Bombyx mori: one gene and its partner. The protein of the gene in region 1 purifies or fractionates together with the protein of each later gene. This does not show direct contact. Links are inferred from orthologs where the notes say so. Each region holds a gene or a part of one and is shown on either strand. Other genes may lie near its edges.

Region 1 (6,474 bases):
AGGGCGGTGGTACCTACCCGCGCGGACTCACAAGTGGTCCTACCACCAGTAATGAAGAATGCAATATTTGTAATATTTACTTACAATATAGATCAGGGTATATACCTGGCATCGTTAGGGTGGACAGCCACAGCCACATCCCCAAGCATAGTTTCTACTCTAGTGGTAGCCACTATCACCTCCTCATCCGAGCCTTCAACTTTGTACGCAAAGTGAACCAGTACTCCGAACTCGACCTAAAAATATTTACTAAATATTGACTTAAGAAACTTCTTCAATATTATCAACATGATGTTTTATGTACAGGAAGGTTTTTGAAAATATGTTAGTTTTTGCAATTTAGCAATTTAGCAATTTGCATCTTTCCTCAAACAATTGTCTTTGTCATTAGATTCCAGACATATTGGGGCCCAGTGGCAGTATGCCTCTCATACATGAAATCATGGACTTAAAACCGGCAATATCCAGATCCTCGGGCTTCCTGAATGTCGCATTTAGGTGTATTCATGGGTGCTCACAGTTCAACTTTTGTTAGCAATCTGGCTGAAGAAACGTTTATGGTTCTTGTCAACCTTGAATATCACTATTCACCTTAGAGCGAGACATCAAAATCTTAATCTATACTAATATATAAATCTACAGTGGTTTTTACGGATGTTCCGTTATAACCACTGAACTGTACATCCGATTGACTTGAAACTTGGTATCCATGTAGAAAATACATGTACTTAATGGATAGACTAATATTTCTACGAATGTTGGACTCTCTACACCGTTAATGATGAGAATCTTTGTGGGGGTGAGAAATAATAACGTTAATTTTAATTGCCCAGCGAAGCGGACGGGTACAGCTAGTTATATTATAATAAGATCTATTCTACTCTTTAGGCTTTGCTTCATAGCAGATAGCAGCGCGATCGAACTACATGAAGTAAAGATAATAAAAAGCCATCATACCTTCTGTTCATATCCTGGTATTGCCAACAGAGTTCTTCCAGTCAATTCTAATTTATCTACTTCTATGTCAGAGATAGCGCTCTTCAACGTACAGGACCAGTTGACCAATCGGTTCGCACGATAGATGTCTCCAGCGTCGTGCAATCTTATGAAGGCCTCATTAACAGCTCGGCACATTGATGGGTCCATCGTGAAGCGGACTCTGGACCAGTCGTAGGATGAACCGAGAGACCGAAGCTGCTCGTATATCCGGACTCCTTTTCTGTTATTATTTGATTTACTTTAACTGCGCTTTTTTTTCCTACCTAAGCTGGTAGCCTTGAGAGGCTGTATCAGCGTAAACTTAACTAGTAGGTGAGCTCACGGGGCTCAAACCTGACGACGTTGCTAACACGAACCCTAACAAGAGTGGTGCTTCGGAGAATCTACCACCGGATCGGAAACGCGACCCACTGAGAAGATCCGGCGAGAAACTCAGTGGGTTGTGTCTGAGGGTTAATTTACTCGTCGAGCCCTTCGTCGCAAGCGACGGGTTCGACGAGAACGATGACCGGTTAATTGTGCAATGAATACACTACAACGTTAATTATAAACTACTGTCCGGACACCATCAAAACTTAGTCTGGTTAAAAATAAATGTAAAGGTGATGTAAATGCATTGAAAATAAATCAGCATTAGAACAATTTCGGACAACACTAGTACAACAGTGTTATAAATGTAGTAACATTGATTAAAATTTTTTTTTATCAAATTTTATCAACAGCTTCTCACTGGGTTTATCAATACAACTCACTCATTCTTCCAGTCCCAAACTCGTTTGATGAACTCTTCTCTGCCAAGTTCATGCCGAGTTTTTTTCTCTTCTTTCCAAAGCTTCTTTTCTACCACAACTTGTGTAGCAATTCCGGCATGGTCACAACCAGGATTCCAAAGTGTTGTACGCCCATTCATTCTAAACATATTTAGTATTGGAGTTACTACACTTTTGAACACCTCAATCTTAATGTGACCTCTTTGCCCAGCAATATGCTTTAATAAAAAAAAATTATTAAAAAAATTTGTTCAAAAACGAAAAAAAATTTTTACTAGAATTTTTAATGCATAAAACAATGTTTTTACAGAGATACAATAATCAAGTTACTACAATACTCAGAAAAAAAAAACATTATTTATGTCTAAGCTAATTTAAGAAAAATGATGGGATGGTCAGATAAATCCACAAATCACCATCACCAAGGTCTTGCCTATTTTGTCATGAAGTAGTCGTTCATTCTACTTCAATATAGTCTATTATATAGTTCTTAAACTATATAATAGACCTCAACCTCAATTCTCAATGTGCTGCTTTTATGATGCAAGCTTTACGAGCTCGAGTGACACTTTATATTAAATGGGGTATGAGCGAATTTGACAAACTACATATATAACAAAGATGGATTACCTATGCCACCTAGTTAGTGCATCTTCAACGGCGTTGGTCAGTGCATGTCCAAGATGCAGTGTTCCAGTGACATTAGGGGGAGGTATAACCATCACGAAATTACCCTTCGGATTGGGATCCAATATTGATTTCCTCTGAAAAAAAAAAACATTTTTTTTTGTCTCCCTTATTAGCAGTCAGGGCGAAACAATTCCTTCCAGATAATCTTGATTGTTTTAAATGAGGTCTCTGATAAATAATATCTTATGTACAAATTTAATAATATTCAACTCTTCCAAAATTATACTTATGTAAATAAAATACACCTTTACTGGTATAAAACATGATTTCCAAATAAATGATTATAAAAAAAGGAAATTTTAGGACAAAAACCATATTTCTCTATTTACACACTACAACCAAGTTCATTTGAATTTTAACTTAATCATTGAGCAAAAATTTCAGGAACTTTATTAATTTGACATTTTAAAATTTCCTGTCTTGTCTAAATTTAGTATTAAAATAGATTACAACTACTCACACCATACTCTGGCTTAAAGAAACCCTGTTTCTCCCACCATGCATACCATGCAGCCTCAACATACCGGGGGCTGTAGGCATCGGGCATAGCACCACTGATGTCCTTCATGTCACCAAGCGCTGTGTTGGCCGTGTACACTGCCGCTTCTTTTGATTCCTTAATTTTTTTCTTAAACAAGGATTGATAAATTAAACTTAATTTACAATTATTATTTTTTTGCTTAGATGGGTGAACGAGCTCACAGCCCACCTGGTGCTAAGTGGTTACTGGAGCTCATAGACATCTACAATGTAAATGAGCCACCCACCTTGAGATATAAGTTTTAAGGTCTCAGTATAGTTACAACGGCTGCCCCACCCTTCAAACCAAAACACATTACTGCATATCATACAGCACGGTTTATTTAGCTTGTTTAAGCTCTAATTTTAATTTTTTTTACAGTATTTAGATTCAGGCAAAAGATATTACTTCATAGTTAGGTTTTTTTTACATGTTCGCTGGTAGACTAGGAGGCTATTCCAGCTACGCCCTGATGGTAGGTGAGCTCACTGTCTCAACCTAAGAAATTTGCTAACACTTCTTCTAGCAAGAGCAGTGCCTCAAAGAATCTACCACCAGATCGATCAAAATTGCCACTCACTGAGAAGATCAGAGAGAAATACTCAGTGGGCATTGGTAGAATTAGAGTACAGTTCCCAGTTTTTGTCATGTTGTCATTTTGTCCTCTTTGTCATGTAAAAGCTTTTTCAAGATTTTTTCTAGTTTAGGACTGTTATTACTTGTTGTTGTCTCACAACATAGAACCTTAACATAGGACTAACTAGGCTAAGGCTTTTCATTAACAGAATTTATATACAAATACAGAAATGTTAATTCTTTCCATAATCAAGAAAAATAAATATTATCTATAATATTACTGGATAGCAAAATAGTGTTTAATACCATAATGAATTTAATGAAAAATGTTAGAACTGATGTAATTTTAGTAGTTAATTTCTTTTCACTTTCACTTTATAACCTATTTGTTACTTTATAACCTATGTTGTCTGTTTAAATCAAAAACACTTTCTTCATGGTTATTTTATAACTTAAATATAATATATTGTTTCTATAAAATTACAATAAATACCTCTGGCTTTTCTTTCGTAACAGCTGGTGCCGCGCTCTTCTTGTCCAGCTTGGCTTTGAGTTTTTCTAACTTAGCAGCTTTCTTAGCTTCTTTTTCCAATTGTTTGGCAGTTTTCTCCTGCGGCTGATCTTCCCCAGTATTTTGGGATTCATTGTCAGTCATCTTTACTATTATTATTTAAGTAATTCACCCCGAATTACAGTTCTCCTCTACACAGCAACTACAAAATTATTACACTTCGGTGGCACTTTATCTCTATAGTTAATACATATGTGTATTATGTATAAGACTCTATACAATTGTGTGCTGCGTGGTTTTGACATTGACATTTAAATATTTTTTATGGGATCTTATGACCTGGTAACTAAGACTTTTAGGTCAAGTCTTATTTTAATTTATATTCTTATTTTTATGAAAAATGATATATTATCAGTGAAATATAATGAAATGAGATGAGATGATATGGGATGAAATATAATCTCAGTAAAATGCTGGTTATAAAATTTACTGAGACTTTTTCAGTGGGCTTTTTGGAGGATCCCGAGCTCCTCCAGCTACGTCCAGCGGCTTTGTTTCATTTTCACACATTTTTTCACTTTCAAATATATTAAACAGTTAATAAACCATCATTAACTACATTACATACAAATAGACAAAATAAAACAAATAAGACGACTTCACTCCTCGCGTTCCCGCCAAAAAGTTACATTTGAAACCAAATAATACAATTAGTCCCAACTCTCCGTTTGTAAATAAAATATGATGAAAATTTAATTGTACATGATTTGTTTAAAAAATATATCCCATGAGCATAAATGATACACTTAATAAATAAGTTCACGAATCCATTGTTTTATTTCAGTTTTCAAAAATAACAAATTTTTGAAGTTTTTGAAAAAATTTATAAAAGAAATGATTTAAATATTTTTAATAATAGGACGTTATTTATACCAATTTTCGAAAAATAAATACTTTTCTTCTTGTTTTAATATAAAAGCATCTGAAATATGAAAGTTCTATTATAAATATTAACACAAGCATTTGTGGTAATTATTAGTTTTTAAAATAAATAAAATAAAAAGATTACAATAATTTTTGTGTCTGTCCAAAGTAGTCCAAACCAACATGAAACCAACCATTTTTGTTTTTGTAACCTTCTTGACAATGATGGTCATCATTAAAGTCTTAGCAAAGCTACTATTTAAAAATAAAGTAGTTACGGTCTTAATTAAAAATTACGTTTATATAGTAGTTACATTTTATGCTACGTTTAGAGGTACATATACCAATATTTTTGTTTTTATTATCTATACAAATATATACGAACCAGCTCTCGGCCCACTCGGCCAAAACTCATTGCTGCTTCGCAGCTGAAATAGGCACGGCAGTCATCTGAGCTGGCTCACACTTCCTATTCGTATATTATATATATTGATACCAAAGCTATATACATACCCCGCGTATAATTCATATTGCATCTATTAGAAATTACTGACGTTATTAACTGTGCAAAAAGGACTTTCCGCCGGGAACGTGGGCGCGAAATCGTCTGAATTGTTTTGTCTTGTTAATTTAGTGCTACTTCGGGTTTAAATGTTTTAATGGTAGCTTATTAATCGTTCAGCATCTGCGCAAAAGCACAAGTCTGAGAAAATGAAACCAACAACCAACCAACCAATAAATTCATGCTAGGGCATAATTTCATCTCGTCTCGTTTCATGCTAGTTGATTCCATTTTAATTCACCCCAATTCATTTAACTTTCAGATAAACATTTTGGTTAGTTTAAATGATTATCACGTCAATGAATAAATTTATATAACAAGACAGTTAATGACGGAAAATAGTAACGGTGTGCTCTGAGCCAATTGTGATTCTATCCAAAGGCGGATACGCATGACGTTCAAATAGTGCACAAATGCAATATCATTCTAAATTGACTGAACTTTATTTTTGTGTAAAAAATAGATTTTGATTTTTATTGTATGTTGTATGCTGTAGTAGATTTACATAAATTCCACCGATATGCTATTCATCAATTTACAGAGGGCGCTACCTCATACTATAAAAGATGATTTACAGTTATTTACTAATGACAATATTTTACATATATGTACTTAGACATTTAGGATAATTGTATTTTAATTTTTGGAGGTTTCACTTCTACTACTTATGGATTGCACACATATCTGTTTTTATTTATTTATTTTGTTTAAGACGTAAATAAAAAATATTCGCTAAACTGAGGTTGCATCACTTAAAATCGCAGTAAATCAACGTGATTCAAAGCCTAATTCTTTAATTTATAAATACGTTTATTTATACTCACTTTAGAGCTCATATTGAATGATATCCATATTTGCATCAAAGTAATTGGCTTATTTATTTTATTTTTTTCATTTATTTCAGATTTTCCCTCCATAATTC
Region 2 (6,563 bases), on another chromosome or scaffold:
CTGAGATCGTCTCACTTTTCGGTTCATGGACGTGTTCACTGGCCATGGGTGTTTCGGACGGTACCTATGCCACGTTGCCCGAAGGGAACTAACAATGATGTTCCACTTCACAGAATTATGGCTGCGACCAGGATACGGGGGAGGATGCGCCCGAGTACTGCCCCCCGTGGCTGGGTCAGCGCGTGTCCTCGTAGCACAAATAGGACTGACATCGGCAGCGAATGCCGATTGTCAAGGCTACGATGCTCGGTACTACTCGGTAGCGACAAGTCCTGGAAGGCGATGCTCGACTTCTGTGTGTCCACCATTTTATAGAAGCAGGCGGTGGAACGAGAGAGACATAGCTCATCCTTCTCCGCACCGACCCGTTGTCGCCAAGCTGGGGACAGGGAAGAGCTTTCGCTGGACATTAGTCCCCGGTCGTCTCCGGGGCGTGTAAGGAGGCAGTTTCCTCTCGGTAATGATCAGAAGCTGAGATGAGAGGGTTGACGCTACGCCACGTGCTACCGTCAGCCTAGTGCTAGGAGGAAGGGTCTAAGGACGGTGAAAGCGAACGCGTTGCAATCAGGAAGATAAATGACCTGGCAGTCTGGTTCTGACCCAGCAGGATATCTCGAAAGTCCAGCAAGCGCGCCAACTATCCGTGGATGCCAGCGTTCTTAGTTGTCGACGATTGCCTCGTTGACCCGTCAAGTCTAGTTGTAGTGTTAACTGCGAGAACCCCCTACTCCGCCCGGGTTCTGATCTCGGTTGTCAGGTTAAGAGTGCGACGGTAGGCGTTTGGTGGGTGGCCGTAAAATTATCTTTGGGCCTGCGGTCTGCTTCTAACATCTGCAGACCGTCAAGACCTACATACCCCGCATAACCTCTAGATGAAAAAATGTCGCAAGCGGTTTGGTCATTGTTCCAAAAAGAAAAAAGCTTATCGTTTTGATATGGAGGAAAGAAATGAGATAAAATGAGATGAAGTTAGTTTATTTGAGATTTCAATTAATTCGGATGAAATTAAGTGAAGCTAGATAAGATGAGGTGAAACAAAGTCTCAGTAAAATGGTGGTTGCTTAGTGAGACTTTTTAGAGGACTTTTTGAAATAGCTCGAGATGCTAACTATGTCTATCTTTTTATATATTTTTCTACATTTGGGAACTTTCACAGGTGTAAAACAAAAAATAAGCCATCACTATTACACATTTAAAGCTGAAGAAACACTGAATTAAGAAAATAAATCAAATCACAAAACTTTCCCTCCTCGCGTTTCCGCCAAATGTATTTATATATTCTTTCATAATGTATATTCGTATATTTATGGTTGTAGTATTAAGTGTTTAGTAAGAGAAGGACATATGTTGGACGGTTATATTTTGAAGGGATTGGGTTCTTTAGGTGATGAGGGGCTATTTAAAAACACAACTGCTTCATTATAATTATATTGCAGATTGCTTAAACACTTTTACACCATTATACAATTATTATCTTTATATATTTTATAAAACTATTACATGTTTTTCATGCTGTGTCGAGATGAGAAGTCCTACTGACATTTTCTTACGAGAATACAATGATCTGTTTTTTAAAACATTTAAAATAATTCCAATATTCGAAATCTAATCAAGTGTCAAGTGTTGCCTGCCATTACATTTAATATACAAACTCCAACAACATAGATCCAAACTACCACTTTTTTGTTTCTATCGACTTCTTTTGTGTCTTCTTTCACTTATCTAATGATATAACACAAACACAACTTGTTTTGTCCATTCTTATTACATTTAATGTAAATCTGTGCTATTAAGACTTGTGTCACTCGTGATTGCTTCTCAAATCGTCTTTCATTTCTTGACTGGAAAACATTAACTCCAATACAAAAAAATGATAAGTTCGTTTTGCGGAACGAGATTCGGACAACAATTTCAGTAATGCGAATGATTTTTATGTTTGTACAGAAATGGCTTAATTTTTTTTTTATAAAAGAGATGAATATCCGTTCTATGATCCTTTTGCCTCTCATTAAAAGAAACTATAGAACTTTCCTCCATAGACGAAACTAACAACACTGGACCACTCACTGGACACATTTCAATTTTTAGCACTTGTCAATTGTTTTTGGTTGTCTTTGTCTTTTTAGTTTCCGTCATCATTTGAATGGCTGTTAGGTTTGCTCTATTAACTTTATTTACGTAAAAATTCAATTTAATTGTATGAACCAACGTTTTTATTGTATTTAAATACAATTCAAATCTAAATTTTGGAATAATCAGGTTGGTAAATATTTAAAATTATTAGATGACAAGAAACACGTAGGTAGGTAGTTTAGAGATAACCTAGCTTAGGTTTGAAACTTTTGCTACCGCCTTTATTTTCGCTCAATTTTTTACATAATATGGTGATTAATTAATCCACAATTAAATATCGTTTCACGTTCATCGAATAATTTTTCATCATCAATTTATACTTAAAAATGCTTAAATGAGTACTAAGTAGTTTCATTTTAATATTTTAGCATGGCTGCTTTATTACACGAGAAGGTTTGGTTAGACCGGAATGTTTACAATGATGCTGAAAAAGCTTATTATGAATCTTTGTCGAAGGTAAGTTTTTAATAAAAAAAATTATTCATACATTTTTTCATCTGAGTAATTCTATAAATTATACTTTAAAGAATGGAGTTTGTCGATAGTTAACGTAATTCAATGATGATTTTGTAGGTCCAAGCACCATTATCGTTAGCTCGATCATCATTGGCCAGTGAAGTCGCAAAGGCTAGACAGCATATTAAAAATTCTTTAGAATGTGTGAGTAGATGTTGTTTTATTATATTTCACACATTGCTTCACACAAATCTATTAGATTTGTCACAGTATTTATTTGTCAAATATCTGTGTGTAAGGTTATTGTTTCAATAAGCAAAGACAAAGTTTTAATTTCTCATTTTTTATGTTATAACAAATAAAAATCAGCTTATATGCAGGGTACTCTGTGACACAGAGAACATGTCCACTAGCTGCTTTTGCTTTAGATTTCAGGTTTATCAAATATGAGTATATTAGTGACAAGTAACTCTAACGTCATTAGAAAGCTAATATAGTTTTCTGCTTGTGTTAAAATAATCCGTTCAATCCACTTTGTATTTGAGAATGGCTAGATTACATTTTGCATAAGATCTACATTGAACTAATAAAATAAAGTGAAATTGAAATAAGTAAAACAATAAAATTTTGGCTCAGTTCATTTCATATAAAATAAAGGCAATAGAGGTCATTTTCAGTAGCAATTTTTGGCTTGGCTTTTTTGTGCTATGAAATATTAGAGAATCATTCTTGTTTATTTTACTGTAGAAAATTAGTATTGTAAATTAGTATACAACATTTATTTAAATTTATTGTCTTATTTCAATATGCCTATATAAACATGCTAATTAATTAATAGATTTTCATGTCGAGTAGTGCAATAGAGAGTATAGTATTCACTTTTTTTTTCAGATGGATAGTGTAGCAACTTTGGCGGGTGTTCCTAATACAGAGCTCAGTACTAAAGTCATCAGCTTAGAAAACGAAAACAAGGATTTGAAAAAGGCTATAGATGATTTACGTAATTTAGTCATCAGCCTGCAAGTCCGTGTTGAAACCTTGGAATCATCCAGCAGTATCACCTCTGATTGTATTCAAGTAAGCATTGAATTTATAAGGGGAAAGTAATAATAGATTTGGGACATTAGTATTACATATTTTTTTATTGCTTAGATAGGTGGACGAGCTCACAGCCCACCTGGTGTTAAGTGGTTACTGGAGCCCATAGACATCCACAACGTAAATGCGCCACCTACCTTGAGATATGGTTTCATATAGTTACAACAGTCGCCCCACCCTTCAAACCGAAACGCATTACTGTTTCACGGCAGAAATAGGCAGTTTGGTGGTACCTTCTGTACTGCATCTGCGTACTGGAAAGTCTCTTTGAAGCTAACATTGAAAGCTACTGCAACTTAGCAGTTGATTGAATATTTTCAACTTCCACTATCACCTTTAACGCGTTGTTGCTTACTTTAGTTTTCAGCGACCACAGGGTTGATTTTTTAGATTAAAATTTCCATATCAGAAGCATTCAAACTTAAAACGAGTTTTACGTTCGTTTGTGGTGTGCCCTCTGTACACGTCATTAATGCTGTGAGCTGTATGTGCGGCGTTCTTACTGTGACAGATTTCTTATACTCGAATTTTATCATGTAGATATTGATGATGATTGACTAACAATAAATAAATGACTGAATTTGAAAATATAATTCAATATTATTTATATAAATTTATTTGAGCTTAGAATTTATTACCAGCATACTTAAATTACGTTACAAATTGCCAGTGTTGTGAAATGGCAACTTCATGGATTTTCATTGTATGATAAGCTGACATGAAATATATACCCTGTATATTCTGTAAATAGGGTGATCTTTTTTCAAGATTTGGAAGACAATGGGAAAGATTATATGCCAAAACATATGTGTTGCCAAACCATTAATTCCAAAGTTAAGTCTTAAAGTTAATTCCACTGTAGAGCTTCCAGAGTCTTATCAGCAAAATTGGCAATTTCAGGCATTTATTGTCTCTTCTTAAATTTAAAATGCAATAATTTTAAATGTACAAAATACCTATTGTATTACTAAATATATTTATCATTTACCTTTCAGTCAGAAAAACCTGCAGCAGCTTCTACTGATAAGGATGACGAAGATGATGATGTTGATTTGTTTGGTTCAGATGATGAAGAGGAGAGTGCTGAAGCAGCTAAGATAAAGGAAGAGCGTCTTGCTGCATATAATGCAAAGAAAGCTAAAAGTAGGCTATAAACATAATTCTTGCTCCTCTGTGCATCTACTGTGCTGATCTGTTTCTAAAGTGACAGATTGGATACTGCTGTGCCCTGAGCTCAGTCACTTTGTAGGCATAACATTCTACACTTTCTGGGGTGTGGTCTGCATTCCAAAACTATTACATACATAATATTTAACATACATACTTATTACATTCATAATACAATGCTTGGATAAGAAAGATTGTCATTCAGGTTTTCAGGCCAAGTACCATAACATACAATATCCCTTCAAGTTTCCAGTGCTTGTTGGCTACTTAAGCTTTTCTATGAATTTCATCATTCTTGATTACGATAGTAACATGTAAATCATATTTATGACCTTTAAAATTGCCATTTTGCTGATATTAAGAATTTCTAAAAAATAATTAGACCATATTATGATAAATAGTATAAAAGTATAGTATTAATAACCAATCCAAAAATAATTATTTCACAGAGCCAGTGCTAATTGCAAAGTCGAATATTATTCTGGATGTAAAGCCATGGGATGATGAGACTGATATGGCAGCCTTGGAACAAGCTGTAAGGTCAATCAGCACTGATGGCCTCTTGTGGGGTGCCGCTAAACTAGTGCCTTTGGCTTATGGTATCCATAAGCTGCAAATTTCCTGTGTTGTTGAAGATGATAAGGTTTCTATTGATTGGCTTACTGAGGAAATCGAGAAAAATGAAGACTATGTAAGTGTTCAGTGTACTATAGAAAAAATGGTAATAATAAGTATATGGCAGCTAATATCAAATATTGATGCTTAAGTATTCACTGTAGTGCCTGTTATGAACTTGTATAGGACAAGAAAGCCCTTATATTAATGCAGTTGTAACTGTCAACATGCTAAAATGAGGGAGGGGCTTTCTTTATGAGCTCCAGTAATTTCTCAATGTGTGGTCTATAAGATTGTTTGCCGTTTTATTGAATTAAAAAGATATGAACACATAAGATCAGAGAGATTAATTTAAAATATTCTGACAATTTACAAAATTCACGGTTCTTTAATAGAATAGGGAACCAGACGATATTTGGAGTTATAATAAATGACTATCTTACTATGAATTATAATATGCTCATGTATAACGAATACCCACATAATAATATGACCTCATGCATTTATATTGGTGAGAACCAATTGTTTACTGGTGGTAGGACCTTTTGTGAGTCCGCACGGGTAGGTACCACCACCCTGCCTATTGCTGCCGTGAAGCAGTTTCGGTTTGAAGGGTGGGGCAGCCGTTGTAACTATACTGAGACCTTAGAACTTATATCTCAAGGTGGGTCGCGCATTTACGTTGTGGATGTCTACGGGCTCCAGTAACCGCTTAACACCAGGTGGCCTGTGAGCTTGTCCACCCACTTAAGCAGTAAAAAAAAACATCTTATGTAAAGAACAGGTTTGAAAATAATGCAATGTTAGTATGGAAACATTAATGTTTAATATCTCATATTGTGACAGCAATGCTTTTTTTACTTAATAAATATCATTTCATAATTACCTTTTACAAATTTTTGTTATTGGTATACTGTTACATGATATGAATAAATTTGGTTAAAAATGTCAATATTAGCATTTGAAAATTGGAGAAAACTTTCTAGAAATTATTATTGAACTTAAAATATGATCTGTTCTACATTTATACTCTAGCATTTCGCATATGTTTTTTCCAGGTACAAAGTGTCGATATTGCTGCGTTCAACAAAGTC

What was found. Proteins that work in one complex are often made in the same cells at the same time.
Region 2: the proteins of valine--tRNA ligase (region 1) and Ef-1d purify together in Homo sapiens (affinity purification with mass spectrometry; 5 studies listed by BioGRID and IntAct, counting the BioPlex papers as one, with this or other methods). This does not show direct contact. The link is inferred for Bombyx mori from reciprocal best matches to the Homo sapiens genes VARS1 and EEF1D.

The regions. Positions count from the first base shown.
Region 1 is NC_085114.1:14,516,166-14,522,639, forward strand, and holds the start of valine--tRNA ligase, read right to left. Parts: upstream 4,356-6,474; 5' UTR 4,211-4,355; coding exon 4,049-4,210; intron 3,088-4,048; coding exon 2,920-3,087; intron 2,534-2,919; coding exon 2,400-2,533; intron 1,911-2,399; coding exon 1,752-1,910; intron 1,220-1,751; coding exon 958-1,219; intron 237-957; coding exon 106-236; intron 1-105. UniProt on the Homo sapiens protein: Catalyzes the attachment of valine to tRNA(Val).
Region 2 is NC_085111.1:9,758,505-9,765,067, forward strand, and holds the start of Ef-1d (elongation factor 1 delta), read left to right. Parts: upstream 1-2,199; 5' UTR 2,200-2,259; intron 2,260-2,501; 5' UTR 2,502-2,502; coding exon 2,503-2,589; intron 2,590-2,706; coding exon 2,707-2,793; intron 2,794-3,480; coding exon 3,481-3,666; intron 3,667-4,682; coding exon 4,683-4,830; intron 4,831-5,303; coding exon 5,304-5,545; coding exon of another isoform or gene 5,546-5,620; exon of another isoform or gene 5,621-6,527; coding exon 6,528-6,563.